2 linked regions of the Macaca fascicularis genome follow. The protein of the gene in region 2 purifies or fractionates together with the protein of the main gene of each other region. This does not show direct contact. Links are inferred from orthologs where the notes say so. Each region holds a gene or a part of one and is shown on either strand. Other genes may lie near its edges.

The links. The genes of interacting proteins can lie anywhere in the genome.
Region 1: the proteins of NCBP3 (region 2) and THOC6 purify together in Homo sapiens (co-immunoprecipitation; 3 studies listed by BioGRID and IntAct, with this or other methods). This does not show direct contact. The link is inferred for Macaca fascicularis from reciprocal best matches to the Homo sapiens genes NCBP3 and THOC6.

The regions. Positions count from the first base shown.
Region 1 is NC_088394.1:3,819,475-3,825,077, forward strand, and holds the start of THOC6 (THO complex subunit 6), read left to right. Parts: upstream 1-2,356; 5' UTR 2,357-2,640; coding exon 2,641-2,679; intron 2,680-4,244; exon of another isoform or gene 4,245-4,514; intron 4,515-4,662; coding exon 4,663-4,778; intron 4,779-4,879; coding exon 4,880-4,944; intron 4,945-5,018; coding exon 5,019-5,122; intron 5,123-5,206; coding exon 5,207-5,244; intron 5,245-5,321; coding exon 5,322-5,370; intron 5,371-5,472; coding exon 5,473-5,544; intron 5,545-5,603. Other genes in the region: TNFRSF12A (tumor necrosis factor receptor superfamily member 12A), read left to right, coding at 1-7, 89-144; HCFC1R1 (host cell factor C1 regulator 1), read right to left, coding at 1,177-1,312, 1,547-1,675, 1,788-1,844, 2,161-2,255. UniProt on the Homo sapiens protein: Component of the THO subcomplex of the TREX complex which is thought to couple mRNA transcription, processing and nuclear export, and which specifically associates with spliced mRNA and not with unspliced pre-mRNA.
Region 2 is NC_088390.1:3,867,839-3,872,890, forward strand, and holds part of NCBP3 (nuclear cap-binding protein subunit 3), read right to left. Parts: intron 4,248-5,052; coding exon 4,139-4,247; intron 1,402-4,138; coding exon 1,302-1,401; intron 697-1,301; coding exon 593-696; intron 1-592. UniProt on the Homo sapiens protein: Associates with NCBP1/CBP80 to form an alternative cap-binding complex (CBC) which plays a key role in mRNA export. NCBP3 serves as adapter protein linking the capped RNAs (m7GpppG-capped RNA) to NCBP1/CBP80.

The DNA of each region.
Region 1 (5,603 bases), on a different chromosome or scaffold from region 2:
TTCACCAGTAAGTGCGCCCTGGCCTGCCCAGCCCTGTCAGCACTCGACCTTTTCTCTGCCCCTGACGACCCCAACTCTTATCTTGCAGCCCCCATAGAGGAGACCGGCGGAGAGGGCTGCCCAGCTGTGGCGCTGATCCAGTGACAATGTGCCCCCTGCCAGCCGGGGCTCGCCCACTCATCATTCATTCATCCATTCTAGAGCCAGTCTCTGCCTCCCAGACGCGGCAGGAGCCAAGCTCCTCCAACCACAAGGGGGGCGGGGGGCGGTGAATCACCTCTGAGGCCTGGGCCCAGGGTTCAGGGGAACCTTCCAAGGTGTCTGGTTGCCCTGCCTCTGGCCCCAGAACAGAAAGGGAGCCTCACGCTGGCTCACACAAAACAGCTGACACTGACTAAGGAACTGCAGCATTTGCACAGGGGGGGGGTGTCCTCCTTCCTAGAGGCCCTGGGGGCCAGGCTGACTTGGGGGGCAGACTTGACACTAGGCCCCACTCACTCAGATGTCCTGAAATTCCACCATGGGGGTCACCCTGGGGGGTTAGGGACCTATTTTTAACACTAGGGGGCTGGCCCACTAGGAGGGCTGGCCCTAAGATACCGACCCCCCCAACTCCCTAAAGAGGGGAGGAGATATTTATTTTGGGGAGAGTTTGGAGGGGAGGGAGAATTTATTAATAAAAGAATCTTTAACTTTAAATGGTTTGGAGAGGCAGTGATCCCCGACTGACTCCCCTGAGCTGGAGGGAGGGAGTGAGTCAGCCAGCCGCGGGGGCGGGGGTGAGGCTCTGACTCACACATTCTCAATGCCTGGAACTCAGCCGGCCAGGACCTGGCTGGCCCTAACAGTTTTCCAGGGAAGATCTTGAGGAGAAACCCCAGCATCCCGCACCTCTGCCCTCTCCACCATCCCCAAAAGCCCCAGGTTCTAGACTGAAGCCTTCCTTTGCTCAGCAATCTTTATTCAGTTCTTCTTGGGGGTGGGATGCCTCCCTTCCCATGCTCCCACCCCTCCCATCCCAGAGCTCCGTTGGGCTCAGTGTCCTCTGTTGAGGGAAGGTCTTGGTGCCCAGATGCCTGGTCTGCAGGAGAGGGAGGAACCTTGTCCCTTTGCAGGAGTCGCTGGTCTCTTCTGTTGTGGGGAAGAAGGAAGGTGGGAGGGGCAGTCCACCAGCACTCAGAGCTCCGTTATGTCTCCAGCTGGGGTTGCAGGGTAGGGGGGACTGGGGGTGTCCCCCAGCCTCAGCAGACGGAGGGCCTCGGGGATGAGGCTGCCAGGGTAGCGCCAGAGAAGCAGCTCAGAGCAAGGGCTTCTAGAAGAAGAAATGACTGTCAGGGCATGGGGCTAAGGCTGGCCTAGCTGAGCACCTCCCACCAGGTCCAGGTCCCCAGGGACTCCTGGGTTCCCAGCACTTTCCGAAGAGCGAAGATGAGAAACAACCCAGAGGTCAGCTAGAGCTAAAAATGGCACGATGAGGCAGGGCCTGAGGTCAGCTGCGAGGACCGCCTGTGATTCTGCAGAAGGCCTGGCCAGTGGAGGAGCCTACCTGAGTGGGGGCAGGGCTTGGGGGAAGGCCATGGGGGGGCTGCAGTAGGGGTGGTCATTGTGCAGGCTGAGTTGAGAGAAGTGGGTGGCCATGTTCTCCTCAGACAGAAAATGCTTGCGCAGAGGCTCCCTGGGGAGAGATGGGAGAGAGGCAGGCTGGGATATTGAGACAGGAGGCAGCCTGTTGGGGACCAGAGGTGACAGAGCTCTCGTTGGGAGTCCCTCCCTGCCCCCAAACTCACTGCTCCTCCTCCAGGCGCCGCTTGGTGCTCATGGGCACAGCTCCTCGGAGAGGGGAGCTGGGGAAAAAAGAGAGCCTGGTGCACCCCACCCTCTTGGCCCCTTCCCAAGGATATGCCTGCCTGAGCCTGCAGCATCAGCCAGGAGCCCCAAGCCCATTACTGTCTCAGCTGGTGCTGGTCCCCCCTCTCCTGGGCCATCCAGCAGCGTACTTCGGAAGTCTGGACCCTGAACTGCAGCCCCAATACCATCTCAGCTCACGCCTAAGCCCCACCGATTCGCCCCACCCCGTGTTCATCCTGCAGACCAGCCCTGAGCACCCAGCCAAAGCTCCTGCGGCCCTTGGTCAGGCCCACCCTGGTCCCCCACACGCACCTGGCGTCCAGGCCCCGAGTCACCCCCAAGGCGGCCCGCGGGAGGCGCTGGGCCCCACCCTGGGGGCCTCGCTCCAAGGGCTGCTGAAGGATCATTGGGTTTTGGGGTCCTGCGGGTGGGATCTGGGCGACAGGGGAGGAGTCTCTGAGGGCGTGGCCCAGCGAGGATGGGCGTGGCTTTAGGCGGGCACAGCGGCGAGGTTCTGCGCGGGCGCCGAAGAAGGGCGGCGCGTGGCGGAAGGCAGGCTTGCTCCTCGGGGTGGGGGAGGGTATCCGGCTTAGCGGGGCTGCGGTGGACACCACTTCTTAATGTCGGGGGTCTTCGCGGCGCTCACCTCGGCTCCTGGGGTTCAGGACGGTACGCAGCAGCCCCCTTCGCGCCGAAGGCAGTAGGGCGCCACGGAGAGGAACCGCTGTAGGCACGTAAGGCCTCGTGAAGTTGCGTCGCACGCGAAGCACTCTGGGACTTGTAGTTCTGGAGATGGAGCGAGCTGTGCCGCTCGCGGTACCGCTGGGTCAGGTGAGACGGACGTGGGGCGCGTTGCCTTCTGGGATTTGTAGTCCATTCATGGCTGGGACGGGGCGGGCAGGGAATTGTGCCCTTTGAGTCCTATTTTGCCTGGGCTATTTGTGGAACTCAGACGCTGACCGGGGGGCGGGAGAGTAACCCAGAAGTGCCTCAGGGGCTTAACGCAAGTCAGAGAGTAGGGATTATAAATCAGTACGTTTTTCTATGTTGGGGTAGTAGAGCCACCCCTATTTTTTTTTTTAATTTTCTAGTTCCTGCAAAGCACTTTTTTTTTTTTTGAGACGGAGTCTCACTCTGTCAACTAGGCTAGAGTGTAGTGGCACGATCTCAGCTCACTGCAACTTCCGCCTCCTGGGTTCAAGCGATTCTCCTGCCTCAGTTTCCTGAGTAGCTGGGACTACAGGCGTGTGCCACCATGCCCAGCTAATTTTGTGTTTTTAGTAGATACAGGGTTTCACCGTGTTGACCAGGCTGGTCTCGAACTCCTGACCTCAGGTGATCCTCCCGCCTCAGCCTCCCAAAGTGCTGGGATTACAGGTGTGAGTCACCATGCCTGGCCACATTTTTTTTTTTTTTTTTTGAGACAGAGTCTTGCTCTGTGCCCCAGGCTGGAGTGCAGTGGCGCGATCTCGGCTCACTGCAAGCTCCACTCCCCCGGGTTCACGCCATTCTCCTGCCTCAGCCTCCCGAGTAGCTGGGACTACAGGCGCCCACCACCTCGCCCGGCTAATTTTCTTGTATTTTTAGTAGAGACGGGGTTTCACCGTGTTAGCCAGGATGGTCTCGATCTCCTGACCTCGTGATCCGCCCGTCTCGGCCTCCCAAAGTGCTGGGATTACAGGCTTGAGCCACCGCGCCCGGCCATTTTTTTTTTTGAGATGAAGTTTCACTCTTGTTGCCCAGGCTGGAGTGCAATGGCTCCATCTTGGTTCACCACAGCCTCCGCCTCCCAGATTCAAGCAGTTCTCCTGCCTCAGTCTCCCAAGTAGCTGAGATTACAGGCATGCGCCACCACTCCCAGCTCATTTTGTATTTTTATTTTTTTTTATTTTTTTTATTTTTTTTATTTTTTATTTATTTTTTTTTTTTTTTGAGACGGAGTCTCGCTGTGTCTCCCAGGCTGGAGTGCAGTGGCGTGATCTCGGCTCACTGCAAGCTCCGCCTCCCGGGTTCACGCCATTCTCCCGCCTCAGCCTCCCAAGTAGCTGAGACTACAGGCGCCCGCCACCACGCCCGGCTAGTTTTTTGTATTTTTAGTAGAGACGGGGTTTCACCATGTTAGCCAGGATAGTCTCGATCTCCTGACCTCGTGATCCACCCGCCTCGGCCTCCCAAAGTGCTGGGATTACAGGCTTGAGCCACCGCGCCCGGCCTCATTTTGTATTTTTAGTAGAGATGGGTTTCTCCATGTTGGTCAGGCTGGTCTGGAACTCCAGACCTCAGGTGATCCGCCCACCTCGGCCTCCCAAAGTGCTGGGATTACAGGCGTGAGCCACTGCGCCCGGCCCCACATTTTTAAATTTTTTGTTGAGACGGAGTCTCACTATTTTGACCAGGCTGCTCTCGAACTCCTGGCCTCCCCAAGCAGTGGATGACAGGCATGAGCCACCACACCCGGCTTCAGCACTGAGTGACAGCCCCATGGAAAGCTCTTGTCTATACACTAGCTCATCTAATGGTGATGGAATCTTCTGTGAGCTCCACTTGACAGTTGAGGAAGCTGGTAGGAGAGTGCTGGGTGCTTGCTCAGAGGTCCCTGAGGCATCACCTCGACTCGCCCCTTCTTCAGTGTCTTCTTGGAGCCGCCCATGGGACTGCATGGGCAAGTGCTGGCTTGGGGCCGGGCCGCCTCAAAAGAGGGCTGAGAAGTCAGGACAGTGGGAAGCCTGGCAGGTGTTGGGGGAAGCAGGAAGGAGTCTGTGGCTGGGAGGTTTCATACATCCCAGGCAGGCCTCATCCAGTTCTTCCCTGCAGACAGAGGTGTTCCAGGCCTTGCAGCGGCTCCATATGACCATCTTCTCCCAGAGTGTCTCACCGTGTGGGAAGTTTCTGGCGGCTGGCAACAATTATGGGCAGATTGCCATCTTCAGGTACCCTCTGCCGCTGTCCACCCATTAGCCCTGGCACTTGGCCCTCATGGGACGGATGTCCCTGTTTCTGACTCCTGGGTCCCCTCCGCTGTCCCCTGCAGCTTGTCCGCTGCTTTGAGCTCCGAAGCCAAAGAGGAAAGTAAGAAGCCGGTGGTGACTTTCCAAGGTGGGTATAGCTGTGGAGTCTGGCTTCGGGACTTTGGGTGGAATTGGTCAACTCAGTTCTGCATTTCTCTTTAGCCCATGATGGGCCTGTCTATAGCATGGTCTCCACCGATCGACATCTGCTTAGTGCTGGGGATGGGGAGGTGAAGGCCTGGCTTTGGGCGGAGATGCTCAAGAAGGTAAGGAGTTGAGCTCGGGAAAGGGCTGGGGTGCCGGGACCCAGAGAGAGCCTTTGAGGTCAACTGGTATTTTCCCTTTTGAAGGGGTGTAAGGAGCTGTGGCATCGGCAGCCTCCATACAGGTGAGCCAGGGCCACATGGATAGAGGGGGCATCGGGGTGAAGTGACTTCCTCACTGACCCTGCCTTTCCTTCCCCAGGACCAGCCTGGAAGTGCCCGAGATCAATGCTCTGCTGCTGGTCCCCAAGGTCTGAGCCCCATGTGACTGTTCTTGTCCAAACTTTGATCCTTCACCCTCTGCCTACCCTGATTTGACATTGACTTCCTGCCTCACCCTGCTCCCTCCACAGGAGAACTCTCTCATCCTGGCTGGGGGAGACTGTCAGTTGCACACTATGGACCTTGAAACTGGGACTTTCACGGTGAGCAGGGTCTTGGAGCCCTAGAGCAGGTCCAGGCCAGGGAGAGGCACTCTTCCTAG
Region 2 (5,052 bases):
AGGCACGGTGGCTCACGCCTGTAATCCCAGCACTTTGGGAGGCCGAAGTGGGTGGAACACAAGGTCAGGAGTTCAAGGCCAGCCTGGCCAACATGGTGAAACGCCCGTCTCTACTAAAAATACAAAAGTTAGCTGGGCATGGTGGCGCGTGCCTGTAGTCCCAGCTACTCGGGAGGCTAAGGCAGGAGAACTGCTTGAATCCAGGAGGTAGAGGCTGCAGTGAGCCGAGATCAAGCCACTGCACTCCAGCCTGGGAGACAGAGCGAGACTCCATCTTAAAAAAAAAAAATTGTTTTCATGCAGCTGCTGATATTAATAGTAGAAAAATTAGGATCTTAAGGAAAGTTATGTTTTAATTTTTCCTATGTCACATTTTGCCTTTTTTGATAGAACAGCTTTTACAAAATCATTTGACCTCTTTGGGCAACTTAAAATTAATTGTGACTTGACTTACTTTCCTATATGTTGGCAGAGGGTGAGGGCAAGGAAGAGAGGATGATAAAGTTTGGAACCTTAAAAGATTGCATTAAGAATAAAAATATGATTTCAGGAGCCAAACATGTGTCTACCCAAGAGCTGAGCAGGCAACTACCAGAATGCCGATGTTTATACGACGTCAAGCCAACGTCATCCCCAATCAGGGCTCTCTTCTTGATCACGTCCCGCTGAATACGACGGGAATGATATCTTCGCTTCCTGCAAGAATGCCAAAATAAGCACACAATCAAAAACTAATAGGAAGGACCTTGAAATCCACTATTTCTTTTTTTTTTTTTTTTTTTTTTGTGATGGAGTCTTGATCTGTCTCACAGGCTGAAGTGCAAAGGCACCGTCTCAGATCACTGCAACCTTCGCCTCTTGGGTTCAAGCAATTCTCCTGCCTCAGCCTCCTGAGTAGGTGGCATTACAGGCGCCCACTACCATGCAAGACTAATTTTTGTATTTTTAGTAGAGATGGGGTTTCACCATGTTGGCCAGGCTGGTCTCAAACTCCTAACCTCAGGTGATCTGCTCGCCTCGTCCTCCCAAAGTGCTGGGATTACAGGCATGAGCCACCGCGTCCGGCCTCACTAATTCATTTCAACTACATGTTGACACAATGTTAGGTACTAACACAGATATTTTAAATGTAACTAACTAAAACTCAGCATTCCCCATCATTTACCACATTTAAGAATCTTGAATTCTTCCCTCTTGTCTTCCTCCCAGTCTACACAGGGTTTAGACATTTCACCACAGAATGCCAACTGAAGGATTAAGAAAAACTTAAATACTATTGCATTTGACGGTTTTGGGCTTACCATGAATTGCTAAGAATTCCTTTCATGCCTCCGTAATTTGGATTCCCATATTTCATGTAATACTGACTTCTTCTGGCTGCTCCAAGCTCCTTTTTGTCATCTACAAATGAATGACAATAATCACCTAGGATTTCCCGAGAGTACGAAGACAATGTTGAATTTTTTTTTAAATGTTTTCCATAGCTGGAATCAGATCAGCGCAAATTGCCAACAAAAAGTAAAAATCCACTACCAACATTCACACTCTGAGTGCCCACTACAGCAATGCAGTGTAGAGGGGACAAAGCAAAATACAGAGATGAACAAGGTTAAAACTGCTGTTTTGGAGCCAAATGACTTAATGGAGAAAACAAAAATAAACAATACAAGATACAAGGTTCCAAGAGGCATAAAAGAGCTTTAGGTCATTACAGGTACTCAGGAATCAAAAAGGCTTTCTCAAAATGGTGGCATTTTTGCCACCCCATGAAAGATGATATTCACTTTGGAATAACATGCCAACAACACAGAATCAGGATTAAGGAAACAGACTATATACAATTCCATGTATTTGGTAAATCATTTTTTCCAGCTTATTGTGTTCCTCAGAATGGCTTAAAAAAACAGCATAGTACTGTACATGTAGAATGTACTCAAACAGCCACTTAAATGAGTAAATGTGGTAAAGATCACATATGTCAAGTTGAAATGTCAGTTAACAGGAAAGAAAGGTGGTCAGTCATCATAAATTTTTGTCCAAAGCAGTAATACAAAGGCCTTCTACAGTTCTTGGACACTCTGACTGTAAAGAACAAACACCACTGTAAATATATCCAGTGCTGCAGGTAAACGTGACAACACAAACCAGCATGTAGAGCCCCCAACCCCCAAACCCCTCAAACCATGCCCACCAGCTCCTTGGAGAAATGGCTGATTCCACATGTGGAGCAGGTAAGATGCAAAATGAGTCTGGAAAAGCAAGATGTTTTGCTGTGCCATAAAGAAAGAAAGGGGTTCTACCGGCCAAATCCAAGACAATTTGTAAATTAAAATACTGATATCAGGCCGGGCGCGGTGGCTCACACCTGTAATCCCAGCACTTTGGGAGGCCGAGGCAGGCGGATCACAAGGTCAAGAGATCGAGGCCGGGCGCGGTGGCTCAAGCCTATAATCCCAGCACTTTGGGAGGCCGAGGTGGGTGGATCACGAGGTCAGGAAATCCAGACCACCCTGGCTAACACAGTGAAACCCCATCTCTACTAAAAATACAAAAAATTAGCTGGGCATGGTGGCAGGCGCCTGTAGTCCCAGCTACTCGGGAGGCTGAGGCAGGAGAATGGCATGAACCTGGGAGGTGGAGCTTGCAGTGAGCTGAGATCGCGCCACTGCACTCTGGCCTGGCAACAGAGCGAGACTCCATCTCAAAACAAACAAAAAAATAAATAAAATAAAATACTGATATTATTGGATGATAACCCACTGAATAAAGAAGCCAGGATTCTAAACTGAGGTAAATAAACAAACAAATACGTAAAAACAGAAAGCTCTTCCGTAGAGCACCTGTCTACTAGTAAAGAAATGATACAGTCAGAAAGGCATCAACAGATACTAAAGCTACTGCATGAAGCTCCGATGAGCAACAGCTATTTACATGATTTCAAAGTATCTGCCCACCAATTTTTTATTTTATTCATTTTTTAATTTTTAAAAATAGGGATGAGGTCTTGCTATGTTGCCCAGCCTGGTCTCGAACTCCTGGGCTCAAATGATCCTCCTGCCTCAGCCTCCCAAAGTGTTGCAATTACAGGCATGCGCCACTGTATCTGGCCAGCCCACCAATTTTTAAATTACAAATGGAAAAATAGTAACTTTACAGTGGAAAAACCTAGTGATGATTATCTTAACCAAGTGAATAAAGTGAACGCCCCTAGGACTGGGACGAGTAAGTATCCCAGGCCTCCTGACGTGATGCCTTGAAATGACATGACATTGCTTCTGTGGCACGACTGTCTGAAATGCACAACCCAAATTCAACCACGAGGAATCATCAGACAAACCCAAACTGAGGGACATTCTATACAATAGTAAACCTATACTCTTGGAAAACATGGGAGGATAGAAGTAGTTCCAGCTTAAGGGGGACTAAGGAAACATTACATACTTACACACTCAGTCCTGGATGGATCCTAGACCTGGGGGCTGGGCGGGGAATATATAAAGGACATTATTGGAACAACTGACAAAATTTGAATATCGACTATGGATTAGGTAACAGTACTGTATTAATGTTAAATTTCTTGATTTTGATAAGTGTGCTATGTATAAGACAATGTTCTTGTTCTTTGGAACACATTTAGGGGTGATGGCTTTTGTCTTCAATTAACTCTCAAATGATTGAAAAAACCAATATGTGTATATGTGTATGCATATATACACATACACATTTTAAATGCCCACCAAAAGTCACTGTGTGTAAACAGTCTTATGAGAAGGGAATTAGAACTGAATGGTACATTGGCAATGTTCAGGAGGATGTTGCTGTAATAAATAAAGTTTCATTTTAAAGTTTTCATAATTCAGATGGTAACTGGCTGAAAACATATGGGGCAAACCAGTTTTAACAGAAAATAACTCACTTTAGCCAGAAGTCACAGAAATATACAAATAGTTAATATTCACTTTTAAAATCAGAAATTCCAACTCAGGTGGCAAACAATTATTTCATAAGCACAGAATATTATAGTTCAAAAGGAACTTTGAGATTACTTGATCTAACTTCTATCCAAAAAAGAAGGATGTCATTCCATAATAACTCATTTTGATTGAAAATACGAAACAATACCAAATATCATATTTACCTTTTGTAGCAAATCTCATGAATAACCTGTTTCCTTTAGCAAGTTTGTTAGCTGGACGAAGATCGTTTCTTAACAAAGACTCCTCTTCTACCTGAGACAACGTGTCCAACTTAAGAAAGAAGAGTATTTTTAATATAAAAATTAAAGTCCTTTTGATATTTATTCAGTAGTAAAGCTACCATCAAGAAAAGCATTCTACCTTTAATACTTGCAAGCATTACAGCACTAGTTCCTCTGTAGAATTTCTAACTCAGAGGTTTCCCCTGCCCACCTTGTCTAAAAGAACAGTCTCCATCATTCTCTATCCCCTACTCTTTAGTTTTCACAGCACTCATCGCCACCTGACACAGTGTAAGGTATCTGTGCATCAGTGTATCCTCTGTACTCCCCACTAGAGTGCAGGCTCCAAGAGGGCCAGGACTTTGTTTGACTTGAAGCTATATCCCTAGCACTTAGAATACGGTATACAATAGGTACTCAGGAAATATTTTTTAAATGAATACATGCTAATATTTTTAACAATAGTACATAATCCATTAGGAAGTATGCCATTACTTGCTGTTTCTTCATTTTACCAATTAGATAACACTTCAAAGTATTTCTCAATAAAACTATTTTCTCTTTTGTAGAAGCATGAGTACTATTCTGAGATTTCAAGGTGAATCGTTATATCCACGCGAACTTAAAGGACAAGAGCCTGGTGCACCCTCAGAAGGTCTAACGGTGAAAGCTAGAGAGCCGGGCACGGTGGCTCAAGCCTGTAATCCCAGCACTTTGGGAGGCCGAGATAGGCAGATCACAAGGTCAGGAGATCGAGACCATCCTAGCTAATACGGTGAAACCCCGTCTCTACTAAAAAATACAAAAAACTGTAATCCCAGCACTTTGGGAGGCCGAGACGGGTGGATCACGAG